4 linked regions of the Saccharomyces cerevisiae S288C genome follow. Each later gene encodes a partner of the first gene's protein in a complex. Each region holds a gene or a part of one and is shown on either strand. Other genes may lie near its edges. The genes, in order: POP7, POP5, RPP1 and POP8.

What was found.
Region 2: POP7 (region 1) and POP5 share a complex: the UniProt entries of both Saccharomyces cerevisiae proteins name them as parts of the nuclear RNase P and RNase MRP complex.
Region 3: POP7 (region 1) and RPP1 share a complex: the UniProt entries of both Saccharomyces cerevisiae proteins name them as parts of the nuclear RNase P and RNase MRP complex.
Region 4: POP7 (region 1) and POP8 share a complex: the UniProt entries of both Saccharomyces cerevisiae proteins name them as parts of the nuclear RNase P and RNase MRP complex.

Annotation. Positions count from the first base shown.
Region 1 is NC_001134.8:570,888-573,880, forward strand, and holds POP7 (ribonuclease P/MRP protein subunit POP7), read right to left. Parts: upstream 1,004-2,993; coding exon 581-1,003; downstream 1-580. Other genes in the region: TYR1 (prephenate dehydrogenase (NADP(+))), read right to left, coding at 1-313; PEX32 (Pex32p), read left to right, coding at 1,484-2,725. UniProt on the Saccharomyces cerevisiae protein: Component of ribonuclease P, a protein complex that generates mature tRNA molecules by cleaving their 5'-ends. Also a component of RNase MRP, which cleaves pre-rRNA sequences.
Region 2 is NC_001133.9:80,903-83,807, reverse strand, and holds POP5 (RNA-binding protein POP5), read right to left. Parts: upstream 1,103-2,905; coding exon 581-1,102; downstream 1-580. Other genes in the region: mRNA splicing protein PRP45, read left to right, coding at 1-473; FUN19 (Fun19p), read left to right, coding at 1,857-2,905. UniProt on the Saccharomyces cerevisiae protein: Component of ribonuclease P, a protein complex that generates mature tRNA molecules by cleaving their 5'-ends. Also a component of RNase MRP, which cleaves pre-rRNA sequences.
Region 3 is NC_001140.6:222,314-225,280, forward strand, and holds RPP1 (RNA-binding RNA processing protein RPP1), read right to left. Parts: upstream 1,446-2,967; coding exon 564-1,445; downstream 1-563. Other genes in the region: GIC1 (Gic1p), read right to left, coding at 1-165; 2-dehydropantoate 2-reductase PAN5, read right to left, coding at 1,717-2,856. UniProt on the Saccharomyces cerevisiae protein: Component of ribonuclease P, a protein complex that generates mature tRNA molecules by cleaving their 5'-ends. Also a component of RNase MRP, which cleaves pre-rRNA sequences.
Region 4 is NC_001134.8:185,447-188,016, reverse strand, and holds POP8 (ribonuclease P), read left to right. Parts: upstream 1-1,542; coding exon 1,543-1,589; intron 1,590-1,664; coding exon 1,665-2,019; downstream 2,020-2,570. Other genes in the region: PEP1 (type I sorting receptor), read left to right, coding at 1-1,173; DNA-(apurinic or apyrimidinic site) lyase APN2, read right to left, coding at 2,102-2,570. UniProt on the Saccharomyces cerevisiae protein: Component of ribonuclease P, a protein complex that generates mature tRNA molecules by cleaving their 5'-ends. Also a component of RNase MRP, which cleaves pre-rRNA sequences.

The sequences.
Region 1 (2,993 bases):
GACCCCCAACAATTGTTCCAACCTTAGAAGATGGTCCATACGTTGCGACGATCTTACTAATATTGGATGCTTCAACACTATAGATAATATAGTCGCTTTGCCTGGATACCAAATGACCATTTTTCACCAGTTCGAATTTAGCTGAGGCATATTTTTCTTTCAGTTCATCATAATATTCTTCCCTATCACAACATATAACACCCCATCCAGCATCTGTAAATTTATTAGCGTATAATAGGCCCATATCACCCAGACCAATTATACCAATGACTTTTGTGGCTTTCCATTGCTCAATCTTATCCTCTGATACCATGTTTATCAAGTGGATATGCTGTCCTCTTTCCTTCAAGTGCTACGGTATTCTTGTAATTCTAAAAACTTTTCTTGGTTTGAATAATTCCAGTATCACTTTCTTCAAAGCTTATTTTCATATAAGGCCTCAAAAAAAAAAAAAAAAAATGACACATAGCTGAAGTGATAAACTTACTACACTGGTATAACGCTTATTAGAGGAAATCTAATAATAAACTGTTAGCTATAAATAGTATACAATAACAATGAGCGCTAAAAGTATGACATATTAAACATAAATACGCAATTCTACACCGCTTACAGCCCTTTTCTTTAGTTGGGTTTCTTTATCGTCATCTTCAACATCACTTTCCATGTCGATATCAGCTTGGCCTTCAGTTATTACTTCATCAAGAACTTCTATAGTTTTAGTGTAAACCTCTATTTTCTTGTTCTTCTGATCTTGAAAATGACAACCTAATGCCAGTGTCTTTTCTACAGCTTTACCCATACCCAAAACCGCAACATAGGATGATCCTTGCTTATGAACGCTATCGAGAAACTTATTTATTCTTTTCAGTGCACTAACGTATGGTGTTGTAGACTTAACGAAAATTGTTGTGTGTATTTGCTTATGCGTTAGAGTTTTCAAAGATGGGTGTTTCGTTACTCGTTTGGTAGATTTGTTGTGTGTATTCTTTTTGAGTGCCATCCTGGGTGCAGAGTTCTCTTTTCTTCTTTGACCGTCAATCTTATTGCTTATTTCTGAATAGTTAAGTAGCTCTTTACAGAGAGTGAAATTAAACAAATGGTCAAACAATCGCAGGAAAAAAATGAAGAAAAAACATTTTTTCGAAATGACATGAGAAGACTATTGATGTACTTCTCATGATTATTCAACCATATTGAGCTGGACAGATTTTTACCAAATTGATTTGGGAATTTTAGACATTATTGTTGTCATACCATTTTCATATTCAATTCAACAGCCTGGTGGGGAAGTAAAGAAATTATCCCCGAAACAAATACCCTTTTATGCTTATTTCCAAGAATTACTGGAACACCAACTGCAAGGGTAAACAGAATTGATGAAGAAGGTGCAATCACTCGAAACTACTTCATACTTTCTCTTTTCTTTCATTGATCTTAATTTAGTTCAGTGGACATCATTTTGCTAATTTCAAGGAAAGAAATGGACACAAATTCTAAAACCAAAGTACAAACTGAAAATAAAAAAATTAAGGCGAAATTTATACATAATCATGGGCAAAAGCCCTCTCTTATCCAAATTACACCTCCAATGATTTCCAGCACTCTGTTTCACGCATATCCACTACTACTAATATTCGACAATGCCTTAGCGAATATAATGTGGCTGTCCGACGATAAATGTTTAACATTCATTTATCTAACGAGCATATGGCTGACCATAAGTTTTTTTATCCCCGTTGAAACAGAGGCTAGCCATTTTCTGCCATTTACAAAGATTTTGAGACTATGGTTAGGCATTATAAGCGGGGCATTTCTATTCTTATCATTCATGTATTATATTGTTTCATTGATAGCTTCGTTAAGAGACACGGAACCTCCTACATTGGATGAAATTGTCGTGCTACTAGAGTCTGTGTTGGATAAACTGGAAGTACTGAGAAACGAGCTGAATGTTTGGAAAAAATTAAAGCTTTCATTTGATGGCGTCAATAAGGAGTGTTCTGGCAAGAGGTTGTTTTGCAGATTATTCTTATTCGGTACAATTTTTCAAATTATTATCATGAGATACATATCACCGGGAACTTATACTAGATTTTTTATTATTACCGGCTTGATATACAATACGAGTAGTTTTCAAGCTACCTTAAGGCTACTTTGGAGGTTTACTGCTGTTAGGAATTTCTATTATTTGGGGATTGAAAGTTTTAAAATTTCGAGTTTCTTACCAAAACACTTAAAGATGGAACAAATTATTCCTTTATCTCAAGGACGTGCAATCACGGTGCCACTGGTAGAGGTATTGCCTAAACTACTTCGGGACAAGAAGGGTGATGACCACATTCATATTCTACAGCTTCTACTTAATGAGCAAAAAGATAACTTTGGTAATGAAGACCTTAAAATACTAGAAATTGAAGTATACGAAAATCAAAGAAGGTGGTATCAAAATAAAAATTGGAGTACAAAATTACTGCCGTACGAAAGACAAAACTACTGCATAGAAATTAAAAACACTGATGGAACTTTAACCATGAGGAGTTGTTTGCCCCCAGATGGACTTGGTGAAGAAGAATTACCCAATAATTGGCATTGGATCAATGATAATTGGGACGGAACTGATTGGATATATTCAGATTCAGCATGGAAAGAAATTGGACAATACAGTTCTTTGGAAAGTTTTACCAGGTCAAGAAAATGGAAACGACGCCTCTTCCATTTGTAATAGTATTGCTTTAAGCCTCTAAACTGCATATATAGTTGGTTGCCTAACATTATCATGATATGAAGAATTTTCTCATACTTTGAAACATAGGACAAGTAAAACTTTATAAGATCATGTGCACTTTGTGTATGTTATTTCATAATTTTCATTAAATTCTTATAACGGCTTATGTAGAAATAATTATCATTTTTATAATAGAAGATTGAATATAGAGGTAATGTATAAAGGGCACATAATGAAGCACTAGTGGTTCATTTAAGAAAGAATA
Region 2 (2,905 bases), on another chromosome or scaffold:
TGGAATTGAAGCGGCTTGCTATGGAACAGGAAATGCTTGCTAAAGAATCTAAATTGAAAGAATTGAGCCAACGAGCCAGATACCACAACGGGACTCCGCAGACGGGAGCAATAGTTAAGCCCAAAAAGCAAACGAGCACAGTGGCCAGACTAAAAGAGCTGGCGTACTCTCAAGGAAGAGACGTATCCGAAAAGATAATTCTGGGCGCAGCAAAGCGTTCAGAACAACCGGATCTGCAGTACGATTCAAGATTTTTCACAAGAGGGGCAAATGCCTCCGCCAAAAGGCATGAAGACCAGGTTTATGACAACCCACTGTTCGTCCAACAAGATATTGAAAGCATATACAAGACCAACTACGAAAAGCTGGACGAAGCGGTCAATGTTAAGAGTGAAGGTGCCAGTGGTTCTCACGGCCCCATTCAGTTTACTAAAGCTGAATCCGATGATAAATCGGATAACTATGGCGCCTAGGCCCAGGATGAGCACTAGGAAAACAAAGCATTCTTGTGCTTGAGTTGTATTATAGATAAAAAAATAAAACTACTGCATATACGTGTACATCTATATATTAATATATTCTAATCGTCCTCGTTTTCGTTTTCGTTTTCCCTTCCAATTTTCTTGAAATCATTGATAATAAAGTCATTATCGCTGAGGTGTGATGATTGACTACACTTGATTATGTTCAGAATTTTAGAATTCCTTCTCATAGCAAACTGCTCTATTTTCTTGATGGTCCCACTTACCTTGACGGGGTTCACGATCAGTCCATCGACGTCGCCAATTTTCGACATCAACATCAATGCCATGATAACAAGGTCGCAATCCTCTCGATGGCATCGGATTATCCCCGTAGACGTCTTATTTGAAAAGTATTTCAACTGCAAGAGAGAGTTACATTTTGCAGACCCATAGTCGCCCAGATTCAACGACAGCGAGCGTCGTATCTCTTGGAGTATCGACTTTATGGACACATCCGCAGGCGATGCTCTGTGATGCGAAAGCAAGATGTCTGCTTTCGACACAGATTCCTCAACGTTGGTGTCTGTAGGTGGGAATATAATTTCAAAAAGGATATATCTACTTTTTAAACGTACCATTTATCGACTTGTTTCTTTGTTGCACTAACTATTGCTATCACATTAATCTGATAGTGAAAAGTAAAATATTTTTCAAGAGCGCTAAGCAAGAACAAAACAAAACAAAGTCAGGAGGCAATTAAAGACAACAAGATAGAAAAACCAGAGTGGTTGCTGTGGTAGTACGTTGGGGGCTCGTTTGTCGAGGTTTTTAAGCAGGTTTGAATGGAAGAAGAAAAAAACGAGCACTTACTGGAGTTACTTGGTAAGAAAAGAGTAAGAGGGTTTGGTGGGTGATATATATTTTCATGCCACCAACTGCGAAAAGACAAGGCATGCATCCATGGCTGGTGAAGTGTTTGTTTAGGATATGAACTTCAACCCAATTCAGTTCCCTCACAAACATCGTCTTTCTTCCTTCACCCACAGGTGCAGGCGCCGCCATGGGTGAGCCTGAGACAGGGTCAACACATTAGATCGATTCAAAGTTACGACAGTCATACAGATAATGAAACGACATATTTGAACTGGTAAACGAGCTTGCCATTGGCTCTGAGTATGCCCAATGCTTCTTTAGTGAATAATGTTCACTAAAACTGTTGGTACATCCGTGCACCTCCGCTAGATGAGGTGCAGGGGTCTATCAAGAACCCCCTTCTTCCTAAGAGAACCGCTTATAAAAGTAGCCACATGGTTCATAACATCCCCGTTATGGCTCATACACTGGGCATCGATAAACAGGATATTCGCGCATCGTAACATTTATAGGGGAAACATGGGATTATATTCTCCTGAATCTGAAAAGTCTCAATTAAATATGAATTACATTGGTAAGGATGATTCGCAGTCCATTTTCAGACGTCTGAATCAGAATTTGAAAGCAAGTAACAACAATAACGATAGTAATAAAAACGGTTTAAACATGAGTGATTATAGCAATAATTCACCCTATGGGCGCTCGTACGACGTAAGAATTAACCAGAACTCACAAAATAATGGCAATGGATGCTTTTCTGGCAGCATTGACTCCTTGGTTGATGAACATATAATACCATCGCCACCTTTGTCGCCCAAGCTGGAGTCGAAAATTAGCCACAATGGCTCACCCCGCATGGCCTCTTCAGTGCTAGTGGGATCTACGCCTAAAGGCGCTGTAGAGAATGTGCTGTTCGTGAAGCCTGTATGGCCCAATGGGTTATCAAGAAAAAGGTACCGCTACGCCACCTACGGGTTTCTGTCTCAATACAAAATTTTCAGCAATTTGGCCCAACCATATTCTAAGAACATTATCAACCGGTACAACAATCTGGCCTATAATGCTAGACATAAATATTCCAAATACAATGATGATATGACTCCTCCTCCTCTGCCTTCCTCTTCTTCTAGATTACCTTCCCCGTTAGCATCTCCGAATTTGAATAGACAAGCAAGATATAATATGAGGAAACAGGCTCTCTACAATAACAATCTAGGAAAGTTTGAATCCGACACTGAATGGATACCACGGAAACGCAAGGTATACTCACCACAAAGAAGAACGATGACTACCAGTCCACATCGCGCCAAGAAGTTCTCACCCTCTGCATCCACTCCTCACACTAACATTGCATCCATTGAGGCGATTCATGATGCTCCTCAATATATACCAAACGTCTCATGGAAAAAATTACCAGATTACTCTCCGCCCTTATCTACGCTTCCTACAGACAGTAACAAGTCACTCAAGATCGAGTGGAAGGGGTCTCCAATGGACCTGTCCACAGACCCGCTGAGGAACGAGCTACACCCTGCTGAACTAGTTCTCGCTCAAACTCTAAGGTTACC
Region 3 (2,967 bases), on another chromosome or scaffold:
TCCTAAATCTTCGTCGGCGTCTTCATCGGAATCCGTACTAGGTCCATTCATGAATCGTTGCCTTACTTGGAATCCATACAATTTTTCCATTTCCTGATCCTCGTCAATCCAAATGGATTTCATTTGAGGAAGCTCCATCTGTTGCAGCCTCTTTCCTTCAGTCATCCTTTAGAATTTATCACACAATTAATAAGCGAGTATTCAGAGTGAATTATAAACAATAAACAATAGAAATAAGTCTTTCTTAAAAAAAAGTAGTGATAGTCCGTACGAAGATAATTAATTGCAGAATAGTTTTCAATGGTTTCAGCTCTCAGTAAATCCTACAGGTACAATGTAACAGAATATGCCTTGGATCCCCAAATTTTTTTGTCTATTCGTTGTTTTCCTTCTCTATGGAAATCGTCGAAAAATTTCTTTGTTTTTTTTTTCCTTTATTGTTGTTGTCTTTTCGCGAATTCGCGTCGCGATTCGTGGATTGTGATGATAATAGCGATGTCTACTACCCGGGTACGTATTTAATTATCATTTATACATTATATGTTATAGGTTAGCGTATCGTTTTAAGGCTTGTGTCTTTTGGAAGCATGGCCTAATTGTTCAGCATCCATACTCCTTTTCACTACCTTGATGGTCTGGACGTCGTCGATGCCTTGAACATCGTTGACCACGTCATCGCCGTTTCCGCTACCACCACCGGTAACAATGGTCTGTTTGTGGCTCTTATTCCTTAAGCGGCCATTTAGGAGGACGAGTGAAGCTAGGTCTCCCATGGCCTTCGAACACCTATCGCTCGGAAGACCTAAATTCTTGATTAGACTTGTTACTCCTAATATGTTGCGGCACTCAAGTGGTGACATGGCACCACTGCCGATAACAATGCCTCTGGACCTCGAACTCCTGATGACGCTTCTTACATTGGATACGAACTGCCTCCGAGCTTGTACGTCACGCAAAGCATAGCCATAAACAATTTCAAGTTTTACTCCTCTGTTCACACAGCTGCATATGCTTTTATGCTTAAGGAAAGTAGGCAGGCGCGACCCGTACTGAAAGGTCAACAAGTCAATATCCAGATTGGTAGTTGATAAAGTAAGGCCCTTTTCACTGATTGGCAATGCTGCTACAATATCAAAGGCCTGGCTTATCTTGGAAAGAGACTGTCCCTTCGATGGATCGTCGATAATTAGCGTGATCCTGCTGTATAATTTTAGCCCTGTTCGATCCATCAATTCTCCAAACCTTCTCTTGATATCGATAGGATTTAACAGCTTAACATCGTTGGGGAATTTCTCGCTGTGGTTTACTGTAAAATTTATGGCGATGTGTGTATATCCCAACATATGCAATGTGGATAACGTTTTTATTAAATTGTTGACCGCCTGAGAAGTAACTTTGTCTGCATAGCTGTTCTGTGGCCACGGTACATTCAAATCTACCAGCATTCTCGGTTCTATAATGCTTTCACTTTTGTTTTTTGTGTCTGTTTAGGTTAAGTATTTTCTACTGGTAAAATGAAATTTTTTCATTTATGCGAGGTAAAATTCTGGGCATCGCACATACATTTTTCATGTTTTCTGGTAGTAGTAACAAAAGAGAGGCACTTGACAAATTAATCTGCCTTCAGACTGTTAAGGTTCGCTCGAATAAAGCATTAAGAGTGTATATATATCAGTATTTATAAATGTATATGTTCTGGCTGATATCCGCGCATTTTCAGTCCTTTCTCCAGTCACCATTGATACTTCTCGACCTGTTCAATGCTAATCTCATAGTGGCCAATTCTCCGATAGTTTTATTAACCTTGCAGCAGTTTGGGTCTAGATTTAAGTTATCAGCCAATTTGACGACATAGCCATTGATATACTCAATTTCAATGTCTCTTAAGAACAAAGTGTCTTGTCTCATTGAACTACTGTTCCTAGAATTGATGTCACAGCCAATTCTAGTGACTTCGGAGACCATGTTATCGGTTGTCAGTACTGCATTGACATCCATTTCTGGGTATTCTTCATTACCGCTGTATTTTTCGTGGTATTGAAACAATGGCCTATAAGCAACTCTCAATATTTGTAAACACTCGTCAATAATAGATGTGAAAACTGGACCGCAACTGGCCTTCATCTCACCATTGACACAATCTAGAATAGCCGTAACTGGATTCATGCATGCATTAACCAAAAATTTAAATAATTGACCAAAGAGCATTTCTTGATAAGTGGAATGTTCTATTCCAAATTCCTTGGCAAATTTTGGTTCTGTTAATAATTTTACTAATGAGTTATTGGCTGCATCGTCCTCGACTACGGATTTTTTTTGAATCATTTCTTCCTCAGTCCAAGGCAATTTGGCAATTTTCATACCAGCCCACCCAGCATGATTGAAAACTCCTGCTTTATCCTGATAAACGCCATGAGAAATGACACCCTGAAATAAATGTGGTCTGTTTTTTGAATCTGTAAAGATTTCTTCTCTCAATAGTTCTAAAACGCCCAGTCCATTCTGAATCAAAATTAAGTTTGTATTTTTATTAATATAAGGCAAATAAGGAGCTAGTGCTTCTTTGGTTTGGTAAGTCTTTGTAGTGACGACTAAGTTGTCAATAGGTTTTTTAGAGAAAGTTTCAGGGCATTCGCATTTCTCCACTGGATAAGAAAATATTGGCGAGCCTTCCAAATAAAGTTTGCGAATCGAAATGTTGTTCCCATTTGTCTTCTGAAATTGTGCAAGTCTTTCTTGTGATCTAAATAAGGGCACAACTAGGGCATTGGTAAATCTTAAAAGGTCAACTGCCAAAACGGTACCCATGGCACCCAACCCAAGAATATGAATAGTACTTCTGTGTGGTGCAGTCATATTGTACAGACTTTATCGTATACGTATATTATCGATTTCTCCTATCGATCGTAACATACAAAGGTGAGTATAAAGTATCTTGTTTTTTTAATATATTTGTATTAAGCTGAA
Region 4 (2,570 bases), 390 kb from region 1:
GGTAAAACATGGAAAGATTATAAATTCTGCGCTGATAAGGTTTTAGTAAAGGATATAACCACTGTTCCCAGGGATTCTGCTTTGAGATTTTTGCTGTTTGGAGAGGCAGCAGATATTGGAGGCAGCTCATTTAGAACGTACACAATTGATTTTAGAAACATCTTCGAAAGACAATGTGATTTCGACATCACTGGTAAGGAAAGCGCAGATTATAAATACTCTCCTCTGGGTTCCAAAAGCAATTGCCTATTTGGTCACCAAACCGAGTTTTTACGTAAAACCGATGAAAATTGTTTTATTGGGAATATTCCACTTTCTGAATTTTCAAGAAATATCAAAAACTGTTCTTGTACAAGACAAGATTTCGAGTGTGATTACAACTTTTACAAAGCTAACGATGGTACTTGTAAATTAGTCAAAGGACTAAGCCCAGCAAATGCTGCAGACGTTTGTAAAAAAGAGCCAGATTTAATCGAATATTTTGAATCGTCAGGCTACAGAAAGATCCCTCTATCAACCTGTGAGGGTGGCCTGAAATTGGATGCTCCCTCATCACCACATGCTTGCCCAGGAAAAGAAAAAGAATTCAAGGAAAAGTACTCAGTAAGTGCCGGTCCCTTTGCATTTATTTTCATTTCAATTCTTTTAATAATTTTCTTTGCCGCATGGTTTGTATATGACAGAGGTATCAGAAGAAATGGGGGATTTGCAAGGTTTGGAGAAATTAGGCTAGGTGACGATGGTTTAATAGAAAACAATAATACTGACAGAGTTGTCAATAACATTGTGAAATCAGGATTTTACGTTTTCTCAAATATCGGGTCTCTTTTACAGCACACAAAAACTAATATAGCGCATGCTATCTCCAAAATTAGAGGAAGGTTTGGAAACAGAACAGGTCCAAGCTACTCATCCCTGATCCATGATCAATTTTTGGATGAAGCAGATGACCTGCTTGCTGGCCACGATGAAGACGCCAATGACTTATCCAGTTTCATGGATCAGGGTAGTAATTTTGAAATCGAAGAAGATGATGTTCCAACACTTGAAGAAGAGCATACATCATATACAGATCAACCTACGACCACCGATGTTCCAGATACATTACCAGAAGGAAATGAGGAAAACATCGACAGGCCTGATTCTACAGCGCCATCTAACGAAAACCAGTAGAGAGATTACTTTACATAGAGTAGATAATTCCATATACTTTTCATAAACAAAAACGAGCAGATCCTTTAGACAGAATATCAAGTTCTTTCACAAGCCAAAGAAACTTGGCATGATCAGTACTGGTGCAATTCAAATAACTGCAAGTACTGAATCTCCATCTTCAAAGCAGAACCGTAATAATGCGTACAAGGAAGCGGGTGGGATATATCATATGTTACGGGAAAGTGGTTGTTTGACTGAAGATCATCGAGAACGTCATAACTTCAATACATAAGTCATCGCGTAATTTTACAAGCTTTACTGTTCAGCTTTATAGGATAATCAGAATAAGAAAAGGCAGATAAATAGTTTGATAAATGGCCAGTTGTGATGGGGAAAAAGACTTTTAGAGAATGGCAATATTTCAAGTTATCAATGTATGTATATTTTTGACTTTTTGAGTCTCAACTACCGAAGAGAAATAAACTACTAACGTACTTTAATATTTATAGTACTTCATTCGATCAAGATGTGGACGATGCACATGCTATTGATCAAATGACATGGAGGCAATGGTTAAATAACGCATTGAAACGTAGTTATGGTATTTTTGGTGAAGGTGTAGAATATTCATTCCTGCATGTTGACGATAAGCTGGCTTACATCAGAGTAAATCATGCGGATAAAGATACATTTTCTTCGTCCATCAGTACATACATATCTACTGATGAACTCGTCGGTTCACCATTAACAGTGTCAATTCTACAAGAATCTTCCAGTTTGAGACTTCTGGAGGTTACTGACGATGACCGCCTATGGCTGAAAAAAGTAATGGAAGAAGAAGAACAAGACTGTAAATGTATATAGAATATCAGTTTATTATTTAAAAAAACTTGGGCATAGAAGAAAGTGTTTTATTCTCCCAAAATATCAGCTGACGTTTTCATATTTAAACCCACTGAAAAAACCCACAAGATGATTCTGTATTATTTGAATCACCCCGAGATCTCTTGCAAATCCAGAACTTTCTACCTGGATTGGCCGAAGTTTTCGATGTTTTCAGCATGGATTCCTCCCCATGCCTGCACAGGGGAGGCTTTCCAAAGACATCCTTGAAATTCAACTTTGGCGTGGAGATTCTTTTTTTAGCTTGCTGTGGAATTTCAGAGGATTCTTTAATCCTGTCATCTTTTTCTCCATTTACCTTCTGGAAAAATGAGTCGAGCGATTTGTTTTTGATGTTGCTGTTTTTTTTGGTATTCATGACTTTTGATACACAATATTTTTGTTTATTAGATTCTTTATTCGTATCCTTTTTGGCAAACATCTCTAAAACATTATGGTTTCTTAAATTATATTTGTACCTTGCTTCGAATTTTGGTATGGGAACTTGTGTCGTACCAGGTTCAATTCTGTCG